3 linked regions of the Pelodiscus sinensis genome follow. The protein of the gene in region 1 purifies or fractionates together with the protein of each later gene. This does not show direct contact. Links are inferred from orthologs where the notes say so. Each region holds a gene or a part of one and is shown in the gene's direction. Other genes may lie near its edges. The genes, in order: EIF4A2, EIF3H and EIF4G3.

Evidence for each region.
Region 2: the proteins of EIF4A2 (region 1) and EIF3H purify together in Homo sapiens (affinity purification with mass spectrometry; 3 studies listed by BioGRID and IntAct, with this or other methods). This does not show direct contact. The link is inferred for Pelodiscus sinensis from reciprocal best matches to the Homo sapiens genes EIF4A2 and EIF3H.
Region 3: the proteins of EIF4A2 (region 1) and EIF4G3 purify together in Homo sapiens (affinity purification with mass spectrometry; 3 studies listed by BioGRID and IntAct, with this or other methods). This does not show direct contact. The link is inferred for Pelodiscus sinensis from reciprocal best matches to the Homo sapiens genes EIF4A2 and EIF4G3.

The regions. Positions count from the first base shown.
Region 1 is NC_134720.1:47,414,816-47,422,646, reverse strand, and holds the start of EIF4A2 (eukaryotic initiation factor 4A-II), read left to right. Parts: upstream 1-4,658; 5' UTR 4,659-4,771; coding exon 4,772-4,800; intron 4,801-6,108; coding exon 6,109-6,154; intron 6,155-6,241; coding exon 6,242-6,374; intron 6,375-6,631; coding exon 6,632-6,771; intron 6,772-7,831. UniProt on the Homo sapiens protein: ATP-dependent RNA helicase which is a subunit of the eIF4F complex involved in cap recognition and is required for mRNA binding to ribosome.
Region 2 is NC_134712.1:23,924,715-23,933,221, forward strand, and holds the start of EIF3H (eukaryotic translation initiation factor 3 subunit H), read left to right. Parts: upstream 1-5,267; 5' UTR 5,268-5,319; coding exon 5,320-5,439; intron 5,440-8,507.
Region 3 is NC_134733.1:3,596,748-3,604,638, reverse strand, and holds the start of EIF4G3 (eukaryotic translation initiation factor 4 gamma 3), read left to right. Parts: upstream 1-4,251; 5' UTR 4,252-4,632; coding exon 4,633-4,826; intron 4,827-7,891. UniProt on the Homo sapiens protein: Component of the protein complex eIF4F, which is involved in the recognition of the mRNA cap, ATP-dependent unwinding of 5'-terminal secondary structure and recruitment of mRNA to the ribosome. Functional homolog of EIF4G1.

The DNA.
Region 1 (7,831 bases):
AACTAGGGACATTGCTCAAACACAATAATAATAGCAACACGTTCTATAGTGCATTGTCAGTTACCTTTCTATAAAAGAGACAGAATGGTTACCAAAGTGACAATCCTGAACTTTCTTTGGGTTGTGTCCCAGAGATGCAAAATGGCTTGAGAATCTCCTTTTTATTAATTTGCACATCATGGAAATTAGTCTCTTCCCCCCTCTCATTTGGTGAAATTAAGTCAATGGATTTTTTGGCAGGAAAGATTGGATTCCCCGCTACATATCTTTCTGACAAAGAGGGTTTCTTTGAGAAGGGAACAGAGAGTTTGTTTGTTTTATAAATCTAGCCTTGTAGTCCCATCATAAAAAGCTCAGGATACATCTGTGGACAGCAATGACCATCCAAGCTGATGTAGTGAGAAAGACTGTTTTCATTCTCTGGAAGTTCTCACCGACTCATTCATTTTAGGATTTTACTGCAAACAGGTAGGCATCTGAAAAATTAAGGACTACATCATCTGTAGGTAATGTATGCATAGGTGACTCATGACAGCACTTAGAGGTGCACTGATCTCCTATGCCCCCATCAAAATTCTAATGGCTAACTTGGGTGACCCTTCATGCCCCCTCCCTGTTCCTCTGCATGGCCCTCCCTGCAGCCCCTCCCTTCCAGGCACCTGTTGCCTATGTATACATGCCAAGAACAACCATAGCAAATATCTTATGCTTGTGGCTGCTTGCAGTCTACAGGGACCTTATAACCTATGTGGCAATGCTCTGGCCCCCATGGATCCCCATGGATCCTGCATGTCTAGGCAGTTATTGTATGCCTCAGAGGCTCGCTGTGGTCCTCCACACTGCCTTTTATCTTTGCTTGAGGCCAGAGTCACAGCTTACTGAACCATTCTCATCATTGGCAGTCAAAGAAATGGGAGGAATCCCTCTTCTAATCCTGGCCTCCTTTACCCAGGAACAGACTTTTTTTAGTAGTTTGCGGAGGTTTGGGGGAACCCGGGCCTGCCTGCCCACTACTCCAGGCTCCAGCCCAGGGATCCTACATAGCAGCCATTGTCAGGCTATGTCTACACTCGCGGCTTCTTGCAAGAAATATGCAAATTAAGCTAAGCGTGGAATATCACCGAGCCTCATTTGCATACCTAATGAGCCACCATTTTTGCATAAGAGGCTTTTGCTCCAGAAGGAATTGTCTACACTGCTCCTTCTTGTGCAAGAAAAACCCTCTTGCGCAATGCAGTTATTCCTGAAAATAATCGGCGTAATGGCATTGTGCAAGAGGATTTTTCTTGTGCAAGAAGGGGCAGTGTAGACAGCTCCTTCTGGCGCAATAGCCTCTAAAAATGGTGGCTCATTAAATATGCAAATGAGGCTCCACAATATTCTACACTTAGCCTCATTTGCATATTTCTCACATAAGAAGCCACGAGTGTAGACATAGCCTCAGGGTTTTTCCCCCTACCACCAATATAGCAGCCTTTTCCCTGGGCTATTTCCCCAAACGCTCCACTGATACCTGAGCAAATCTTTCCTGCTTCAACCCAAATATTCTCACTGTTTTGTACTCTCTAGCCACCCCCTTCCTCCTCTCAGTCCTCCACTCTTCTCCTTCCCCCTCCCTTACCTGCGGAAGAATCCTTTTAAAATAGCCCAGCAGGCCTTAATTTGCTGCAGGTGCCCACTTAGTTTGCTACTTCAGGCAATCTCTTAAATAGACTCAAGTGCCTGCCTGCAGTCTCTGGCAGTTTATTTAGACAACAGAAAACCATTCACCCAGCTACCCTCCACCAAACTACTGTAGCCAACTTCCCTGGGTATATTACACCTATGAATGTACCAAAAGGTAGTTGAGTCCAATGGTGCTCCGTTCAAATGAGAAATAAATCACCAAATCATATAATAAATCAAAATAGTCATGCAAATAGCTAGTGTATGGGTCTGCGCATGTTGGAGCCATGCTGCCAAATCCTGCTCTCCCTGAAATCAATAGGAAAAAAAACACTCTGACATCAGTTGGAAGTGGATTGGGTCAAGTGCTCTCATAGGAGCAAAACTAGAACATAACTATCCATATTCAAAATTAATAACTTTGCTTATTTACACCTATTTTTCAAAATATAGCCAGTGCATGAGCTTTCAAAGAAGTTTAGTTATCAGGAAAGTTTAAGGCACACGAGGTAAAGGCAGACACAAAGGTTCTGATTATTGCCTGGAATCATTTTTTTTTAATTACAAATTAAATTATGCATAAAATGATGACTTAGTTCCTTGCACCTCCTGCCTTCCACAGAAATCTTCCCATTTACCTATGGATTTTTAGTCCTCATTATCTCTTTCTATATAAAATGTTTTTCATGCCAGGTGACAGAATGACATTATTTCACTCTCAGGCCATGAAAGCAGTCAGAAAGAGGAGGGGTTGGCAAGCGTAGTGAGCATGGGGCACAGCCTGCTAGTAACATTAAAATATACAGTTTTGTGGTTTCCTTACAACATAAAGGTACACTCTGTATATTTGGATTTATCTAACTAAACAGAAAGAAATGGCGTGTTCACTATCTTTTAGCTTTATCTAAGAGTCCATTAGCTCTAACTAGAAATCTAATTGTGCCAGTGTGACCTTTTGCCGTTCAACCCAGACCAGTAAGAGGTTGCCACCACTTGTCCTGTAACCCCAAGTGCTGTGACTCACAGCCTGAACACCCACAGTCAGCAGGTAAGCATGCAGTTTCCTGAGTATCTGTGTGCTAGAACTCCAGCAGCCAGCCTACACTACCACAACCCTACACTGGTCTCAATCTGCGTTGTTTACTACTTTCAGGTTAACCCCAACACACACCAAGTTCTGAAATTTCCCCAAACTGTCCCAAAAGTATCCAGCCCTCTCCTGGAATACTCAGAAGCAATAAGATTTGTTTTCCTTTAAAGAAACAAAAGCACAACTCATTATTTTACCTAGAACTAATAACCACTTCAGTTCAAATTAAGGTTGTCAGCTTTTCCAGTAGGACAGACCAGATGCCATTGCCATGAATGGCATCTAATCTGTCTGGTCAGGAATGTTGGCAACCCTAATTCTGGGCTGAGTTAGATTATGTAACAAAATGTAATAAAAAAGTGATAGGTCTTATGTGAGTTCAATTACAAGAGATAAAGAAACGATTACAAGAAAATAAAAGCAAAATAAGCTTTCTAGAGATGAAAACTTAAACTACAATCTTTGTTCAAGGTAGATTTCTTACCCATGTTTCTTCTTTCCAGACATAGTTGATTTTCTCTTTGTCAGGGCCTTTTACGGAACTACAGGACTTTGCTTTTCTTCCTATGCGAAAGATAACTTGGGATTCTTTGCCCCTCTCTTTTACAGTCCAGTGAACTTTAGAAATGTATCTTTCTCAAAGAAAAGTGCAATTAATCTAATGGAGAGGTTCCATGCTGGATTCTTTCCCACTGGTGCTTTCTATAATACAAATTGATGGGTTCCTCCAACCTCTGTTATGTCAATGTCTGCCAAATGTCTGCAACTGAACTTGGATGGAGCCATCAGCTTTTCCTTTGCTTGGAAAAAACATGTTTGCCAACTTTCCCAGACTTTTCTGGTCCAAACACATTTTAGTCCCATATTTCTTTCATATTTGTGTAGTCATTTAGGTCTCACACACATAAGCGATGCAGGAATCAGTCTGTCAGGGGGTTTTCTAATATTACCTTACACAACAGATGCAGATTATAACATATATTACATTAATTGGGATATACTGAACTGGTCAGGCCAGCTGAAACTCACTACCCCATTTCCCCTGCAATTTGTTCTCTGAGATGCTTCCACACGGGGTTCTACAGCTTCTCCTTCCCCTTGTCTTGCTCCAGTATTGCCAAAGCCATGCATTCAAAACTATCAATCAACCCACCCCAAAGACACCACAAGATTGATTTAAAAATATCAAAAGATTTTTTTTTCTTTCAATTCTTTTTGGGGTTCTTTGGCTGCTGGTCTCATTTTGAAGACTTTCAGAGGATGGTTTTCCAGCCTTTCCCCACAAGGGGTAGACTTTGGTGGGTGGGAGGAGGGAGATAAATGAATGCCTAGAGTCTCCCATAATCCCATGACTCCTGGAGCTCGGGCTTGGCACCAGCATTATAAGACTGGTGATAAAATCCTGTCATGTGGGCTTTCCCCACTGCTGATGCTCAGGCTTTGACCCATTAATCCTTCTCAGCAAGTGCCACTTTCCCCCTCTCCTCCTGGGACCCACATACCCTCCACCCCCAGCTCCCTTCCTCTTTCTTTGCCCCTTTCTCTAGGACTCAGCTACCCCGCTCCTCTTTCCCCCCTCCCCCACTCTCGCTCTCCTCCCCCTCCCGCTCTGAGGCTGTCTGCAGCACGGGCGGCCAAAGAAACCCCGTGCTCAAGCGGTGGGGGCACGAGCAGGATGAGGAAGGAGTGAGACACTGTCACAGCGCCAACTGCTGCAATATCCTTCCGCCTTCGCGTCACACAAAAGAGTCCCCATCTCCGCCCGATCTTTTGGCCGTTGCAGCCTCACGAACCCCACGAGAAATATCATACTCCGTGGTCGTGGGGCTATCCGTGACACAGGTAAACTCTAAACGGGGCATGTATATGGCTCGGGCTGTGTGACGATAGACATATGCCTCCGCTGTGAAGGGCGGAACGAGTTCCGGCAGCTGGATGGCTATATAAAGCCGGCGCCGGGAAGGCGCTGCCTTTTCAGTTGAGGGCAGAACAGACGTGGGGGCTGGAGACCGGAACATGTCAGGTGGTACTACGGATTATAGCAGGTATTCCTGGGTTTGGGGGGCGAGTTCGTGTCTTGTTTTCGTTCTGAGGTGATTTTAAAAGGAAGGCGGGGGAGGAGGAAGCGTGTGCGATGTCGGCTCGCTGCCGTTGGTGGGAAGTGCCAGCCCCGGTGGGTCCCTCTCGCGCTCGTCTGATCGGCCAGTTCTTCCCGCAGCTTGTCCGTTGCGGGGACCCGCCTCTCCACAACCCCCACTCCTGTGGCCCGACCTCATTCGACTTCGAAGGAAGCCGGCCATGGCGTTTCGGCTTGCAACCCCTTCTCCCGCCCCTTTTGGTTCATTCCGGCGCTTCCTGAACCCGGCTTCGGGCGAGTTCATTTTCACGCAGAGGGGGAGGGGCGCGGCCCTCCGGGCGCGTTCCTCCGCCTGCGTAGTGAGTCGGATTTGCGCAATCCCCGGGGGTGGGTGGAGCTCTCGCGAGAGTTGGCCGGTGGTGGCTGAGCAAGGCGGGGTGCCGCGGGAAACTCTTTGCTCTGGGTTCTACAGACGAGCTGGCCCAGGCGCGGGCCGCTCTTGCCTCCACCCTCGCCAGGCGGGTGCTGCAGCGCTCAGAGCAGATCCCGCCATTAGGGTGAGAGTGCTGGGGGGGGGGGGGGGCGCACCCTCTGCCACGTGCCGCTTCCGCGGCGAGGGAGGTGCTGCACGTTGGGGCCTGCTAGCTCTGCGTGCCGTACTGCCCTTTGGGGTGTGCCGCGCCTAGAAATATATAGGTGATCTTACACCAGCGATGGGCAGCCTAAGCCTATGATTGGCCCTCCATCTCCGTGGGGGCTGCAAGATTATTGGAACCAAGACAGTTTCCTGGGATAGGATAGTTTTGCTAATTTCGTATGTGTCTGTAATTTGCAGGGTGTATCCCTCAAACCATAGCAGTGCCTCAGATGAATGCAGAGGGAGTGTATGGCGGTCTCAGTCAATGTGTGCAATCAGCATGAATCTCGCTTTAGTAATACCAGTAGGAAAAAACCTGCACAGGGCAGCCCCTGGCTGCGGGCGACAGTGGAGACTTGGGGTAATGGCATACATATGAATGAGGTGCAAAGGAGATGTAGTTTCCAGGCTGGCAAAATGCTAAAGCATTTGCTAGCATAATCAATCAATCACTGGTTTAAGTTCTAATGGAGTGAGAAATGCTAGTGGTATCCGAGCAAAATGCAGGACAATGTAGCACTTTAAAGACTAACAAGATGGTTTATTAGATGATTAGTGGTATCCAAGATATAGAGATCCTGTCCTACATGGCATTTGTTAGCTGCAAAGAGTGTTAACAGCCTGCTTTTTTGGCAACAGAGACCATGGCGGCCCAGAGGGAATGGACCCTGATGGTGTCATTGAGGTGAGCAGCAGCATAATAGCCTTTAGACCCAAATTCAGTATGGGCATAGGTAATAGAGTAATAATCTGCCTCTTTTCCTTCTTACAGAGCAATTGGAATGAAATTGTTGACAATTTTGATGATATGAATTTAAAAGAATCCCTTCTCAGGGGTATTTATGCTTATGGTTTTGAAAAGCCTTCAGCTATTCAGCAGAGAGCTATTATTCCATGTATTAAAGGTAGGCAAGCACAAAAAAATTTTATGTCTGGTCATCAATAGCAGATATACATGTTAGAAAATAGGTCTTTTTTAAATGTATGTACTTTATGCACTTGTATTTAAGTGTGGTGATGGCATACTACTTTTAATTCTTGCTTGAAAAAGGGAGATGAATGGAGAGGTCTTAATTGCTGATCACTTACTTCAAAAGGAATAGAATTAAACTAAATATGAATTACTTGTGGGAGGAGTAAATATATATCCTACTTTTTTTAGGGTATGATGTGATTGCTCAAGCTCAGTCAGGTACTGGCAAGACAGCCACATTTGCTATTTCCATCCTGCAGCAATTGGAGATTGATCTCAAGGAGACCCAAGCACTAGTATTGGCCCCTACCAGAGAACTGGCTCAACAGGTATTGATAGTGTAGTTAAAAAAAGCTGCTTGCGCGTTGCATAGGTTTCGGGTTTCACAACTGTGAAGGACAGTTAACAGATCTTTTTAAAGGAATCTGTAACTGTAATATCCATTCAGAATCCTTGTTGCTTTGAGTGTAATGGGGAAACAGACTAGCTTCTGTTTTAGGTTTTCCCTATCCACGTAAAGAGGGAGTTAAGATGTGACTTCGGGAGATGATGCTGGGACATGGTGCAGGTAACAGCTGATATGCTGTGTAGTTCTGAATGGGCATCTCCCAGCAAATGGTGAAATCTTAAAAATGATATGATAAAGTGGTAAATTTTTTAATATTTGTATTTTTTTATTGTTTTTGTAAGCCGCCTTGAATATTTTAAATGGAAAGGCGGGGTAAAAATATTTAAATAAGCAATATGTTCTGAGTGGAAACAATGCATTTGAGTGTGCAGTTGTGCAACATGAAAACTGCAGTGCACATATGATCATTGTCTTGTGGTGTCTGTCCCATGCTTCCTCGCATGTTTACTTCACCCTCAAAAGATTCAAGTAATTTATTCATCTTAAAGTGGAGCTGTTTCGTGGTTCTCCAGATTAAAATTACAGGATTCAATGTTAAATGGTTCTAAGAATCCATTGATTCATGGTTTAGTGATACAAGTGAAAGTATAAATAGCAATCTTAAAACCAAATTGCAGACCATTTTATACAGCACAAAAAATTTGCTTAGCACTCAAGTGAGGATATCTTTGGCTTCCTCAGATCAAAGATCAGAGTTTTGCTATGCTTGGATAGTTGTCCAAAGATGATTCTAAACCCCAAATTGATCAAAGTCTAAAAGATATTGAGGAAAAATTATGGTGCTAGATTAGTCAGTTTAGTGGATATCTCTCATTAGATTGTTCACTAATATTTTTACTCTGCCACTGCCTTCACAAAATGAGACTAACTAGAACTGGGTATTTTGCAGGTGATGCTACCTGCATCATTTGGCCTTAACACTGAGGGTCTTGTTTGCCTAACAAAGCAATGAGTTTACCACATAGCTGAGTAGATTGTCT
Region 2 (8,507 bases), on another chromosome or scaffold:
CCCATCTCTGTTGTGAATAATAATTAGGGATATAACAGTGTAACAGTTTAAAGGATTAATTTATAAATCTTGGCTTATTGGTTACCACTAACAGTTACACACAGGCTCCTAACCCACTATCAGGGAGCCAGCTTTCACCCCATGCTGCTGTCTCTGTATCATAGCCCATAGCACAGGGCAGCAGCTGGTTCCCTGGAAGTGGGCCCAGGAACTGGCTGCCATCCCATGCCCTGGCAGCAGGGCTGCAGGCAGGGGTCGGTGTGTGCCTATAGCTGGCTTGAAAAGCTGGCTCTTGGTATGCACCAGCTCCTGGGAAGCTGGTTGCTGCCCCATGCTGCTGCCTCTGTATCAGAGGAAGCAGTATGGGGCGGCAGCCAGCTGTCCGGGAATGGGGCTGGCAGGTGGTGACAGGAGCTAGTATGTGCCCAGCAGCCGGCTGCACTGTGGGCTCTGCAGTATAAGCTGTATGCCACAGAACCTGAAACATGGAACTGTGTAACTGCTGAGATTTTCAGCGGTTACACAAGTACCTAATTACCCACTTTTTAACATCCCTAGTAATAACACCAGAAGTTTCAAGCTGCAGGCCAGTGAAGCTGCTTTTCAAGAATTTTTTGTTAATCTGCCTGCAACAATTTCTACAGTGAGCAATTTTTAAAAAGTAAATTAAGCTTAGTTTGAGTGCTTTGCTTAATAATCTGCTTTGTTCTGTTTGCTACCTCTCTAACCACTTAAAATTCACCTTTCATAGTTAAACTTATTTCTTATTTTTAATATAACCCAGATTGTGGAATTCATAATGGTGGGGGGGAGGGGGACTGTACATATTTTCCTCCGCATTGAGGGAGGAGGTGGATTTCATAATATATCTTTGGGTCTGTACTGAATGCTGAGGCAAGTTCCTTAAGATGAGTCTTCCTAGAGCTGATCTGCAGAATGACAGACACTGAGTTGGGTGTGGCCCTGCCTGTCTGTATCCTGGAGGAGGATTAATATCCTGGTTCAGCAAGATAGGTGGAAAAGATGTCCAGATTGCCACTGCTGGCAGGCTCAGTGGTATCTCAGCACATCAGGTAGCAACCTGTGCGGAGCTCTTGGACACAATTATTGGTATTAGTATAGAATATAAATTGCCATAGGCAAGGTAGTCTAGAATTTTAAGTAGACAGAAGGAAGGCTAGCATAAAGTCATTTCCAAAGTCTACTAACATCCAGGAAATTACATCTTTCAACCTGTTCTGTGGAGAACACTGATTCCCCTTACATTTGTATTACAATTACACCCTACAATATCATATCTCACAACACACTACAATACTCTTTTTATGTAGGCTCAAGGCTATCACTGCTTCATACAAACCTGACCTGTTAGGGTATGTCTACATGGCTGCAGCTGGCTAGGGTCAACTAGTTGAGCCATGCAAGGATCAGAATGCGGGACTGACTATTTCTGTTTAGATGCTTGGGCCGGAGTTTGGGCTCTGGGACCTCCTGTCTCTGAGGGTCCCAGGGCTTGGACTTCAGCCCAAATGTCTACACAACAATTGTATAGCCCCCAAAGCCTTCATTCCCTCTCCTCTAATTCTTCCTGTTGGAAAATCTTCAGTGCTAACTCTTGTCCCCTTAGGTGACACATGTGGGCATGTACAGTCACATTTGTCCCTTGATTTCCTGGTGGGAGTTGGGCTGAGTGCAGCTGAAAGGATTTGCCTGGAAAAGCCACCAGCAGTGAGCACTCCCACGGAGTCACACAGAGCAGAGTGGTGAGACTGGGCTGGCAGCACAGCACTGCCAGATGGGACCTAGAGAAGCCAAATCACGTTCTTTTTATGTCAAAGCAGGTGCAGTTACCTGCTTGAGTATGTGTCTAGACTAGCCTGCCAAGAACTTGGGAGTCTGTTGGGGTAATGGGGAGGAGAGGAAGTGGGGCCTGAGGGAGAGGTGGGGAATCCAGGGAGGCAACAGGGGTGGGTGGAATGCCTAGGGAGAGAGTTGATAGGGGCTGGGAGAAGCAGTAGGGGCCAGGGAGGATTGGGGAAGCAGCAGGGGCCAAGATGCTGGATAAGTCACTGGGGGCCAGCGGGCCATCTTCTCTAAAGCTGACCTGGTAATGCTAGTCTTAACGGTAGGTGACCAACATGGCTTCCATGGTCAGGAGGGTGCCTTGGTGATGGTGGGGCTGCCATTGTGCTCCCATCAATCTCAGCCTGGACCATTCTACATGACAAATCTATTTCCTGGACACCCCAGTACAAATCACCAATGGTAAAATAGACACCACTCTCTACAGAAACCCACCGACACATATAGTTACCTACATGTCTCCAGCTCCCATCCAGAACACACCATACGATCCATCATCTACAGCCAAGCCTTTCAATACAACCGCATCTGCTCTAATCCCACTGATAGAGACCAGAAACTTCAGGATCTCTACCAACCATTTATAAACCTCAACTACTCACCCAGAGAAAGAAAAAAACAAATTGAAAGAGCCAGACGAATACCCAGAAACCATCTACTTCAAGACAGACCCAAGAAAACCAACAATAGAACACCACTTGTCATCACCTACAGCCCCCAACTTAAACCCGTCCAACACATTATCAATAAACTACAACCTATACCAGAACAGGATACTAAACTCCAAGAGGCTCTGGGAGACAGACCCCCATAGTCTCCTATAGACACACCTAACCTCAAGATGATTCTTACCAACAACCACAGGACCTACCACACTAATACCAGCCCTGGAACCTTACCTTGCAACAAACCCTGTTGCCAGCTTTGTCCACATATTCATTCTGCTGATACCATTATTGTACCTAACTTATTGAGTTATAAGATCAAAAACACACATTCCTGCTCATCCAGAAATACAAATTTATTCTCTCATGTGCTAATAATGTCTGTCTGCTATGTACATTGGACAAACGTCTCAGACACTTCGCCAAAGAATCAATGGCCACAAAATAGATATTAGACAGGATCACAAAGAATAAACAGTTTATTGCCATTTCAACCAGAAAGGGCATTGTCTCAAGGACTTAACTACCTCCATCCTGCTTCAAAAACATTTTAACATTAGACTTGAAAGAGAATCCTCTGAACTGTCATTCATGCTTAAATTTGACGCTTTACACCTAGGTCTTAACAAGGACGCTAATTATCATACCCATTACAAAGATAGCTTCCCCAATTATCACCTCTAATATCATTAGCTCACAGTCATTTAACTCCCCCCTCATCCCCTTTCTGTTCTGAAATTTGATTTGTCCTTTTTATATGTGTTCATTTTTTTGATTGTATCCTTTGGTATATATAGTCCTGCCAATTTTCTTCCACTATTTGATCTGAGGAAGTGGGTCTGGCCCACAAAAGCTCATCACCTAGTAAACCATCTTGTTAGTCTTTAAAATGCTACATAGTCCTGTTTTTTGTTTCACCAACACCAGACTAACCTGGCTACATTTCTATTAATATTATTCTCAGTTACCTATGCTTGTCCCCCTCTCCTTTACCCTCAGCCCATATCCTCTTAGGAAGTCTTCAGCACCACATCCTCATTTGCCTTGAATCCTGTTGGTCGGTGGATTGCCAGCACAAGCCCTTAACCAATGATTCAGCCCTGGTCTGATCATAGAATCATATAATCATAGGACTGGAAGGGACCTCGAAAGGTCATCGAGTCCAGCCCCCCGCCCTCAGGGCAGGACCAAGCTCCGTCTACACCATCCCTGACAGATGTCTATCTAACCTGTTCTTAGATATCTCCAGAGAGGGAGATTCCACCACCTCCCTTGGCAATTTATTCCAATATTTGACCACCCTGACAGTTAGGAATTTTTTCCTAATGTCCAATCTAAACCTCCCCTGCTGCACTTTAAGCCCATTACTCCTTGTCCCGTCCTCAGAAACCAAGAGGAACAAATTTTCTCCTTCCTCCTTGTGACACCCTTTTAGATATTTGAAAACCGCTATCATGTCCCCCCTTAATCTTCTTTTTTCCAAACTAAACAAGCCCAGTTCATGAAGCCTGGCTTCATAGGTCATGTTCTCTAGACCTTTAATCATTCTTGTCGCTCTTCTCTGTACCCTTTCCAATTTCTCCACATCTTTCTTGAAATGTGGCGCCCAGAACTGGACACAGTACTCCAGCTGAGGCCTAACTAGTGCAGAGTAGAGCGGCAGAATGACTTCACGAGTTTTGCTTACAACACACCTGTTGATACAACCTAGAATCATATTTGCTTTTTTTGCAGCAGCATCACACTGTTGACTCATATTCAACTTGTGGTCCACTATGACCCCTAGATCCCTTTCCGCCATGCTCCTTCCTAGACAGTCGCTTCCCATCTTGTATGTTTGGAACTGATTGTTCCTTCCTAAGTGGAGCACTTTGCATTTCTCTTTATTAAACTTCATCCTGTTTACCTCTGACCATTTCTCTAACTTGCTAAGGTCATTTTGAATTATGTCCCTATCCTCCAAAGAAGTTGCAACCCCACCCAGTTTGGTATCATCTGCAAACTTAATAAGCGTACTCTCTATCCCAATATCTACATCATTGATGAAGATATTGAACAGTACGGGTCCCAAAACAGACCCTTGAGGAACTCCACTTGTTCTCCCTTTCCAGCAGGATTTAGCACCCTTAACAACAACTCTCTGACTACGGTTATCCAGCCAATTATGCACCCACCTTATCGTGGCCCTATCTAAGTTATATTTGCCTAGTTTATCAATAAGAATATCATGCGAGACCGTATCACCACCTGTCCTAGAGCAAAGCGATGCAACACGTGTGCGTGCTGGGACACGGGCTGCCTTCCTAGGAACAGCTCTATGTCACTTGGCGAGTGACCTTCCCCACCCCCGCACAGTCCTAGTGTGGACGCAGCTCCCGCAGTCGGAAGGCGCTCGGGCTGCTCCAGCACAGCGGCTTCCCCCAGCGCATCCCACGGGGCGGACGTGCCACAACCCGCCCTTCGGCCGCGCTCACACTAACCCGGCACCTTCAAGGCCGCCCCACGGCTTGTCTCTGCACATACGTGTAGGGGGAGGGGCAGGAGAGCCGTGACGACTGATCAGTGACGCGCGTGGGTATATTTCCCTAGCTCCTTCCCCAACACGCACCCCCATTTTCTTCTACGCACGCGCAGTGTCTCCCATCCACTTAACTGCGGCCCTTTTTGACCCTTCCCTTCGTTTCCGTCCGAACCTCGTTCAGGAGCCCACCGCAGGGTTCTTAGCCGCGCTTCCGGTGTTTCATTTTTCTCTTTCCGGCCGGCGAGCGGGTGAGAGGAAGAGTCTCTCAGCATGGCGTCTCGCAAGGAAACCACGGGGCCCGCCAGCACCGTCTCCTCGGTCGCCACTAAAGCCAGGGGCAAGGCGGCCCCGGGGGACTCGGCGGTCAAGCAGGTGCAGATCGACGGGCTGGTGAGTGAGCGGAGGGTCCCTGCGGCCGCTTGGGGGGCGAGCAGAGTTCGGGGCCGCGCGGGGGCAGCGCGGCGTGTAGCTCTGGGCACGTTCTGCGGAGAGAGTCGGTGCCCGCCCTCCCCTCCCCACTGGTATCGGCCTGGGGCAGGCAGGAGTGGCGCCCAGAGGAGCCCGCGCGGCTGGGGGAGAGGCGGTCAGCTCCGCTTGTGCGACCGCCTGTGATGGCTTGTCCGGGGATAAGGGCGGCTGGCTGACGAAACCCCTTCCCAGAGGACAAAGGCAGCTCCTGGCCACCTTCCCCCTGCGGGCTGGTGCTGGTGGTTTCCAGGATATACTAAGGATGTCAAAAAGCGTGTAACTTGTCAGTCGTGTAGTGGACACATTTTTTTGTCGACTACACAATTTATCTTTATGGGGTGGTGCTGCTACCACTCAGTCCCGATTCCTACCAAATCCGGCTCCTACCCCCGCTGTGGCTCTGCATTACAAGCACTTCCAGAATTAATAGCTGGCGCACGGTCAGGCTGGCTCAGTCTTGGCTCATGCCGGGACCCAGCAACTACCCCTGCTGCGGTTCTGCACTGTGCTGGTGTGGGGGTTGATCCTGGGTCTTGCACACGAGCCAGAACTGAGACAGTCTCTGAAAACATCCATTCAATGTGCAGCAGTAGTAAAAAAAACAAAAAACAAAAACAAAAAAAAACCCCAATAACCCAAAGGGCTAGAGAATAAGAGAACATCTTATTTCTTCTATATAAATCCACGGTACACTCATGTCTTGAATAATGTGTGCAGATGTGGCTGCCTAATCTCAAAAAAGATATGTTGGCATTGGAAAAGGTTCAGAAAAGAGCAACAAAATGATTAGGGGGTTGGAATGGGTGCCATATGAAGAGAGAGAAAAAAGACTGGGACTTTTCATGTTAGAAAAGAGGAGACTAAGAGGGGATGTGATAGAGGTCTATAAGATCATGAGTTGTGTGGAAAAAGTGACTAAGGAAGGGTTCTTTACTTTTTCCCATAACATAAGAACTAGGGGGTCACCAAATGAAAGGAATAGGTAGCAGGTTTAAAACAAAAGGAATTTTTGCTCATGCATTGTACAGTGAACCTGTGAAATTCCTTGCCAGAGGATGTTGTGAATACTAGGATTTTAAAAGGGTTAAAAAAGAACTAGATACATTCATGGTGGTTAGGACCATCAGTAGCTGTTAGCCAGGATGGGTAGGAATGGTGTCCCTAGCCTCTGTTTGTCAGAAGCTAGAAATGGATGACAGGACAGGGATCACTTGATGATTCCCTGTTCTGTTCTCTTTCTCTGGGGCATCTGGCATTGGCCACTGTTGGAAGACAGTATGCTGAGCTATATGGACCTTTGGTTTGACCCAGTATGGCTGAGTGCCTGGATCTGTCACCAGCCCCTGCTGTGACTTAGCCACTCAGCCAGCCTGGTTAAAATTTACTTGCAGGGCAGGGGGGTTGCATGTAGTTGATAACATTAACTTATAAAAACTGGTTTATCGGTTAATCATTTAGTCGACTATACTGTTACATTCTTAGGGAGTACCTGGCGTAAATTCCTTCCTAAACTGCCTTAGGAAGTATAGATCAGTACTGCTGTTTGGGGGTGCGTCGAGAGGGGTTGAAAGCTACCTGCAGAGCAATGTTCAGGGTAAAGGCACATGTCCAGGCCGCCTCTGGGACCTGTGGTATTTTGGTAATGGAGTCCAACACTACCTGCTACCAGGGTCTTCCCCCAGTTTCTTTTTTCCACCTTTTAATGTTCCAGCACAGGAAAGGTGCAAGTAAACACAGAATTGTAGTATTGGAAGGGATCTCCAGAAGTCTTCTAGTCCAGTGTTTCTCAACTTACTTTTTCAAAAAAAAAAAAAAAAAAAAGTACCCCTAGTACCTACAGTTTTCAGACATACCATTTTTTTTCTACCATTGTAACACATTTGTTTAAACAATTTAATCGTATCCAGGCGGGCAATGAAATTTTTGGGTATAAAAAGTACAAAAATAATAAAGCTCTGTAAAACTTAAAACAAAATTTCTGTTTTCTCCAAATTTCAGTTGTGTTGATGTATCCCCCAGACTTCTCTCAAATACCCTTAAGGGTACTCAATCACTGGTTGAGAAACACAGTTCTAGTCCAGTCCGCTGTACTTACGGTAGGACTGCGTTTTAACTAGGTCACTGCTGACCAGTGTTCCCTGTAAGCTAAGTGCTTGGGCTCCCACACAAGAGAAGCTCAAATGCTGCACAACTGATTAGCAGAGCACTCAAAGTCTGCAATATGTATTTCTACTGGTGGTGCATATCTGCACATGCCACGGTTCATATAATACAATTTATTTTGCTCATGGATGGAAAAAATTACAGGGAACACTGCTCCAACAGGTATTTAAGTACTTTTAGAAACCTCCAATGACAGAAACTGCAAAACCTCCCTAGGTAATTTTTCCAATGCTGAACTACACTGAGAGCTATGAATCTTTTTCCTAGTATTTTACCTAAACCTCTTTTGCTGTAATTTAAGCGTATGGTTTCTTGTTCTTTCTCCAGAGGTTAACGAGAACAATTTTTTTCTCCTTCTTGTAACAGTTATTTTATTTACTTGAAAACTATTATGTCCCATCTCAGTCTTCTCTATTCCAGACTGAACAAACCCAATTTTTTTCATTCTTTCCTCAAAGATCATGTTAAGTTTTTGTTGCTCTTCTGTGGACTTCCTCCAATTTGTTTATTTTTACATTGCTTATTGTGTCTTTCTTACAGCACTCGTGTTAACATCCCAAAATAATGATTGCTTTTTTGCAACAGCATTGACTTCTTTTAGCTTATAATCTACTCTGATCCCCGATTCCTTTCTGCAGTATTTTCCTAGTCCAGTCATTTCCTATTTTTTTGTATACATATAACCAGTGCTCTCCAAGCCGCAGTGAGCCTCACTCGCCAGCCGCACTGTCCGGTGATCTGCGCATGCGCAGATCGTTCTGTGCATGCGCAGATCGCCCGAACCCGGCTCTTCCGGGTTGTAATCTACTCGCTGTGCGCGAGTAGGT
Region 3 (7,891 bases), on another chromosome or scaffold:
CCTCCGCTCCAGCCTGGAGCCCCTGCCCACACTCCAAACCCTCCGCTCCAGCCTGGAGCCCCTGCCCACACTCCAAACCCTCCGCCCCAGCCTGGAGCCCCTGCCCACACTCCGAACCCTCCGCCCCAGCCTGGAGCCCCTGCCCACACTCCAAACCCTCCGCTCCAGCCTGGAGCCCCTGCCCACACTCCAAACCCTCCGCTCCAGCCTGGAGCCCCTGCCCACACTCCGAACCCTCCGCTCCAGCCTGGAGCCCCTGCCCACACTCCGAACCCTCCGCCCCAGCCTGGAGCCCCTGCCCACACTCCGAACCCTCCGCTCCAGCCTGGAGCCCCTGCCCACACTCCGAACCCTCCGCTCCCAGCCTGGAGCCCCTGCCCACACTCCGAACCCTCCGCTCCAGCCTGGAGCCCCTGCCCACACTCCAAACCCTCCATCCCAGCCTGGAGCCGCTGCCCACACTCCAAACCCTCCGCTCCCAGCCTGGAGCCCCTGCCCACACTCCGAACCCTCCGCTCCAGCCTGGAGCCCCTGCCCACACTCCAAACCCTCCGCTCCAGCCTGGAGCCCCTGCCCACACTCCAAACCCTCCATCCCAGCCTGGAGCCGCTGCCCACACTCCGAACCCTCCGCCCCAGCCTGGAGCCCCTGCCCACACTCCGAACCCTCCGCTCCAGCCTGGAGCCCCTGCCCACACTCCGAACCCTCCGCTCCAGCCTGGAGCCCCTGCCCACACTCCGAACCCTCCGCTCCAGCCTAGAGCCCCTGCCCACACTCCAAACCCTCCGCTCCAGCCTGGAGCCCCTGCCCACACTCCAAACCCTCCGCTCCAGCCTGGAGCCCCTGCCCACACTCCGAACCCTCCGCCCCAGCCTGGAGCCCCTGCCCACACTCCAAACCCTCCGCTCCAGCCTGGAGCCGCTGCCCACACTCCGAACCCTCCGCCCCAGCCTGGAGCCCCTGCCCACACTCCGAACCCTCCGCACCAGCCTGGAGCCCCTGCCCACACTCCGAACCCTCCGCCCCAGCCTGGAGCCCCTGCCCACACTCCAAACCCTCCGCCCCAGCCTGGAGCCCCTGCCCACACTCCGAACCCTCCGCTCCAGCCTGGAGCCCCTGCCCACACTCCAAACCCTCCGCCCCAGCCTGGAGCCCCTGCCCACACTCCAAACCCTCCGCCCCCAGCCTGGAGCCCCTGCCCACACTCCAAACCCTCCGCTCCAGCCTGGAGCCCCTGCCCACACTCCGAACCCTCCGCTCCAACCTGGAGCCCCTGCCCACACTCCAAACCCTCCGCCCCCAGCCTGGAGCCCCTGCCCACACTCCAAACCCTCCGCCCCAGCCTGGAGCCCCTGCCCACACTCCGAACCCTCCGCTCCAGCGTGGAGCCCCTGCCCACACTCCAAACCCTCCGCCCCAGCCTGGAGCCCCTGCCCACACTCCAAACCCTCCGCCCCAGCCTGGAGCCCCTGCCCACACTCCGAACCCTCCGCTCCAGCCTGGAGCCCCTGCCCACACTCCGAACCCTCCGCTCCAGCCTGGAGCCCCTGCCCACACTCCGAACCCTCCGCTCCAGCCTGGAGCCCCTGCCCACACTCCGAACCCTCCATCCCAGCCTGGAGCCCCTGCCCACACTCCAAACCCTCCATCCCAGCCTGGAGCCCCTGCCCACACTCCGAACCCTCCGCTCCAGCCTGGAGCCCCTGCCCACACTCCGAACCCTCCGCTCCAGCCTGGAGCCCCTGCCCACACTCCGAACCCTCCGCCCCAGCCTGGAGCCCCTGCCCACACTCCAAACCCTCCGCCCCAGCCTGGAGCCCCTGCCCACACTCCAAACCCTCCGCTCCAGCCTGGAGCCCCTGCCCGCACTCCAAACCCTCCGCCCCAGCCTGGAGCCCCTGCCCACACTCCAAACCCTCCGCTCCAGCCTGGAGCCCCTGCCCACACTCCGAACCCTCCGCTCCAGCCTGGAGCCCCTGCCCACACTCCGAACCCTCCGCTCCAGCCTGGAGCCCCTGCCCACACTCCAAACCCTCCGCCCCAGCCTGGAGCCCCTGCCCACACTCCGAACCCTCCGCTCCAGCGTGGAGCCCCTGCCCACACTCCAAACCCTCCGCCCCAGCCTGGAGCCCCTGCCCACACTCCAAACCCTCCGCCCCAGCCTGGAGCCCCTGCCCACACTCCGAACCCTCCGCTCCAGCCTGGAGCCCCTGCCCACACTCCGAACCCTCCGCTCCAGCCTGGAGCCCCTGCCCACACTCCGAACCCTCCGCTCCAGCCTGGAGCCCCTGCCCACATTCCGAACCCTCCATCCCAGCCTGGAGCCCCTGCCCACACTCCAAACCCTCCATCCCAGCCTGGAGCCCCTGCCCACACTCCGAACCCTCCGCTCCAGCCTGGAGCCCCTGCCCACACTCCAAACCCTCCGCTCCAGCCTGGAGCCGCTGCCCACACTCCGAACCCTCCATCCCAGCCTGGAGCCCCTGCCCACACTCCAAACCCTCCGCTCCAGCCTGGAGCCCCTGCCCACACTCCGAACCCTCCGCTCCAGCCTGGAGCCCCTGCCCACACTCCGAACCCTCCGCTCCAACCTGGAGCCCCTGCGCACACTCCAAACCCTCCGCTCCAGCCTGGAGCCCCTGCCCTCCGGGAGGAAGCCGCGGCGGGGGCTTGTCCAATGTCTCCGAACAGCCGAGTGTTGCCGAAGCGACCCGAGCCCCTCTCGGCCGGGGCCGAGCGCTTCCGAAGCGGCGAGCTCCCGAGGGGCCCCTGCGCCCGAAGCCCGCGTTCGGCAATTTCCGAAGTTGCCCGACCAGGCCTGAACGCGCCTCCGGAAGGAGCCGAAGTGCTCCGAGAGCCCTGAGGCCGAGCGGTTCCGGAGGGGGCCGAAGTGCTCCGAGAGCCCTGGGGCCGAGCGGTTCCGAAAGGAGCCGAAGTGCTCCGAGAGCCCTGAGGCCGAGCGGTTCCGAAAGGAGCCGAAGTGCTCCGAGAGCCCTGGGGCCGAGCGGTTCCGAAAGGAGCCGAAGTGCTCCGAGAGCCCTGAGGCCGAGCGGCTCCGGAGGGGGCCGAAGTGCTCCGAGAGCCCTGGGGCCGAGCGGTTCCGAAAGGAGCCGAAGTGCTCCGAGAGCCCTGAGGCCGAGCGCTTCCGGAGGGGGCCGTAGTGCTCCGAGAGCCCTGTGGCCGAGCGGTTCCGGAAGCAGTCGAAGTGCTCCGAGAGCCCTGGGGCCGAGCGGTTCCGGAAGGAGCCGAAGTGCTCCGAGAGCCCTGGGGCCGAGCGGTTCCGAAAGGAGCCGAAGTGCTCCGAGAGCCCTGGGGCCGAGCGGTTCCGAAAGGAGCCGAAGTGCTCCGAGAGCCCTGAGGCCGAGCGGTTCCGAAAGGAGCCGAAGTGCTCCGAGAGCCCTGAGGCCGAGCGGTTCCGGAAGGAGCCGAAGTGCTCCGAGAGCCCTGGGGCCGAGCGGTTCCGGAAGGAGCCGAAGTGCTCCGAGAGCCCTGGGGCCGAGCGGTTCCGGAAGGAGCCGAAGTGCTCCGAGAGCTCTGTGGCCGAGCGGTTCCGGAAGGAGCCGAAGTGCTCCGAGAGCCCTGAGGCCGAGCGGTTCCGAGAGGAGCCGAAGTGTTCCGAGAGCCCTGAGGCCGAGCGGCTCCGGAAGGAGCCGAAGTGCTCCGAGAGCCCTGTGGCCGAGCGGTTCCGGAAGGAGCCGAAGTGCTCCGAGAGCCCTGAGGCCGAGCGGCTCCGGAAGGAGCCGAAGTGCTCCGAGAGCCCTGAGGCCGAGCGGTTCCGAAAGGAGCCGAAGTGCTCCGAGAGCCCTGAGGCCGAGCGGTTCCGGGAGGAGCCGAAGTGCTCCGAGAGCCCTGAGGCCGAGCGGTTCCGGGAGGAGCCGAAGTGCTCCGAGAGCCCTGAGGCCGAGCGGTTCCGGGAGGAGCCGAAGTGCTCCGAGAGCCCTGTGGCCGAGCGGTTCCGAAAGGAGCCGAAGTGCTCCGAGAGCCCTGAGGCCGAGCGGCTCCGGAAGGAGCCGAAGTGCTCCGAGAGCCCTGAGGCCGAGCGGTTCCGGAAGGAGCCGAAGTGCTCCGAGAGCCCTGAGGCCGAGCGGCTCCGGAAGGAGCCGAAGTGCTCCGAGAGCCGTGAGGCCGAGCGGTTCCGAAAGGAGCCGAAGTGCTCCGAGAGCCCTGAGGCCGAGCGGTTCCGGGAGGAGCCGAAGTGCTCCGAGAGCCCTGTGGCCGAGCGGTTCCGAAAGGAGCCGAAGTGCTCCGAGAGCCCTGAGGCCGAGCGGCTCCGGAGGGGGCCGAAGGCGCCCGAGCGTCCGTCCTGCCGGACTGCTGGAGGCGGCCGCAGCGCCATGTTTGATGCTCCGCTACTTGAGTGAGGAAAATCCGCCGGCATCGCCCGAGAGCCGCCACCGCGAAGGGCGCCGCCTGCCCCGGGGAGGGGGCCCGAGACTCCCGGCCGCCGGCGGCCCATGAGCAGCGCGGCCTGAGCGGCCCCTCTCCCCCCAGCCCTCCCGGAGGCGCGTTGTCACGGAGACCGGCCGGTGGTGCTGGCCCGCCGGGCTGCCCCTGCCCCCGCGCCGTCCCCCGGCCCGCTCCCCCCCGCCCCGGGCCCCGCTCCCCGCGCGGGGCTGGTGGCTGCGCGTTGCGATGAGTGTCCCGCAGAAGGCGGCTCTGAAGCCCGGCTCAGCGGCTGCCGCGGCGGCGGGGACCGGCCCCGGGAGCGGGGCAGCGGCGGCAGCGGGGCCGCCTCCCCCAGGGGCTGCCCCTCACCCGGCGGCAGCTGCGGGGGCGCCCCCGCCTCACCCCAACATCAGGGGCTTACAGAGCCAGCCGCCCCAACAGTATCCTTTCCGCCTGGCCCCCCGGCTGAGCCCCTCGGGGGGGGGAGTTGGCCCGCACAGGGATGGGGTGTGCAGGGGCCTAGCCCCCCAGTAGGGCAGGGTGCGGGGGATGGGAACTGCAGCCCGGAATCTATGTAAGTGAGCGGGGCTTCCTTCAGGAGTGGGGAGCACCCTAAAGTGTGGCAGGAGCGAGGGCCGACCCCCTTTCTCGTGGAGATTCACCGTTGTTTGTGCAGATGGGGTTACACCCCCATATTCTTGTGGGAGGGTTGGGGGCTTTTATCCCCCACTGTGGTGGTGGGGGGCGCTATATTATTTCAGCATAGGCAACTGAGGAATTACATCTATTGATAGTCCTATTATGAGAAGGAGGCATATTCCACTCTACTTGAAATACAGACTGCAGGGTGAGCTATACCCATCTTTACATCTCTTGGGGAAGGGAGTAGGGGATGACTACAACCTGTGCCCCCAAAGTAGTAGTAGTGCAAATAATAAATGTCAGTTGTGTGTGGTGAAGTATATCTGGCCATGTTGAGGTAAGTTGTGGGGTTTGTTTGTTTTTTTACTCAGGAGAAAAGTGAAATTAGCTAGGGAGCTGGACTGTGAATTGTGGATTTTTTAAATTATGATTTTTATTTGTAGTGGAAGTAAATCCATGTGGAAATGTCACAGTAGACATCTTTTTCTGTAAATAGGTCTGGTGTGAGGAGGAAATTTTCAATAAGACCCCCCTCCAAAAACGTTAGTGCTTGAAAGAAAAGCCAGTGTTTCTTTCAGTGTGAACGTTTTAATTCTTCAGGCCTGAAGTCTGGAGGTAAATACTGCAGAGATCATCAGGAAAGTTGTGTGTCCATACATGCATGTTGCATGTTTCTAATGCTGGACAGCATCCTTGAAAAGTTGTTGAATTTTCAGTGACTTTTGGGAGGGTATGAAGAAAGATCCTGATAGAAAATCAGTGGAGGTGAAATGATCAATCAATCAATATGTTAACCTGAGAATGTTTCATGCACTAAGATGTCTGTATTGGTGGTTGTCAGCTAGAAGTGTTAGTTTCACTTTGGGTTAGTACTAATGTTTATTTTTTTTAAATAAGGAAGTGCTGACTATTTTTATAAAGAGGTCATACTGTCCAAGAGTTGTATAATGTATACACAAAACATATTTCTCATACAGTGTACAATGAGTTTACTGCTCTTACTTTCATTTTGAAGTGGCAAAATCAAGGCCTTTCATAATCTGTTAGGCCTGTTGTTTTCTTGAGATCTCAGAGTCATTCTTGCTGCTAACCACAAATATTTTTTTAAATCAGGAGGTTGCTGATGATACAGATCTGTTTGGGTCAAAGTGAAGTCTTAAGAGTGGTAACTCGGGTGAACTCTTACCTCTTTCCTTGTATTTTTGGCTAGCTTGTAATATGATATTTTTAAAAGTTCTTACTGAATAGTGAGAATAACTTAAACGTTTTTTCCCCAAGTAAGCATGGCATTGCTAAGTAAAACTATTGCTCGGGGAACTTGTGGGAAAGTTAGTTGACTGTCTGGCTTTTACATATTAAGTCAGTGCTCAGCTGGTCTATACAGCAAGCTGCTGTTTGTCTGAACTTTTTTTAACTTTCCACTTGTCATACAGTACAGTACTTTTGTGTCTCGATAGTTAAATGGTTTCTGCTTGCCTGCGTGCTAGGCTTTCAAAAGTCTGTTTTAAAGTAATCGTTAAAAGCATCTTTGAGTGACTTGAATACTTTATTGAATGCTAGTTTAGTGTACATTGCAAGACTGGTGTATACTTCGAGAATAATACTGGAAAATGTCATCACATTTGGTAAATTCTGTGATGCTATTTGACCAAAGACATTTTGTGTGTTAGAGGGAGGAGAGTGAATTAATCCTAGAAGGGAGCAAAAAGGGTTCACAGTGAGAGTGGTTGATTGTGTCATAAAGGAGCCAGTAGTGGTGCTACAGCCTGTCACTTCAAATGAATGTGGTTAGGTGCTAAGAAGAAGAGAAATAAAGAGAAGTGTGAGGTAAATAAGATGAGCTTAGCAGGTGTAAATCTAGAGGAGGAACAATGATAAGATTGGATTTTATTATTTATGTTTAGTGACTTGATTGTGTTATATATATTTTTACTTAATAAAATGCCTGAACCTTTAACGCTACAACTGTCTTTTTTGATATATACAAATGCTTCATTCGCTCTTTCATTTTTCTTTAAATATACTTAAGTATCCCAGATATTCTTCTCAGAAATCTGGAAGTGTATGTAAATGAAGACTGGTACCTACTATAAATTGTACTGTGATTGTATTTGTGAACAGTATTGGGTTTTTGGATGTTAGTTTCTTAAACACTTATTGAAATGCAGAGGGTCATTCAGATTCCTTTTTATTTTTGTTCTGTTTGTTTCTAAATGTTTTTGTAACATCAAGAGAAAATTACCCGCTACAGCACCAAACATCCTCCTGGCATCCTGGGGTGAACTGCATATGTCCTTGTTTGCTCCCCAACACAGTAAAGGGATTCATTTGTTGATGCAAGTGGTCAGTGTACTGTACATTGATAGTAGTGTTCAAGAGCTGAATCAATTTTACAATGCTGAAACTGGGCTTACAGGGTTAGTTTTGTGTCCTTGTCTCTTCAGCAACATTTCTTATACTTTGTTAATTTTAGAATAGTTATTGTACACTTTAACAGTAAGAATAGACAGGACTGTGTAGGAGAAGAGCTGGTGCCTATCCACTCAGTGTGTAATGGGAGAAAAGAATGAAAAAATGAGACATGATCCGAAAGGTGGGAGGGGAAGAGGGAGAAGGGAATTTTTTAAAAAGGAAGGTGAAACTGTTAAGGTGTAAAGAACAGACATGTTTCTAATGGGGGTCCATTCTGGTGGTCTAATCTAGCATATTGATTAGAAAGCTATTTTTGTGACTATTACAAGACAAAGATGAACTCTGAAATTAGGATGTTAAATGGCAGTCACCTAGCTAATCGTATAGTTGATGCAATCTGTATCGACTGTACGATTAGTCGATAGGACGGCTCTTCAGAGTCGCAGCGGGG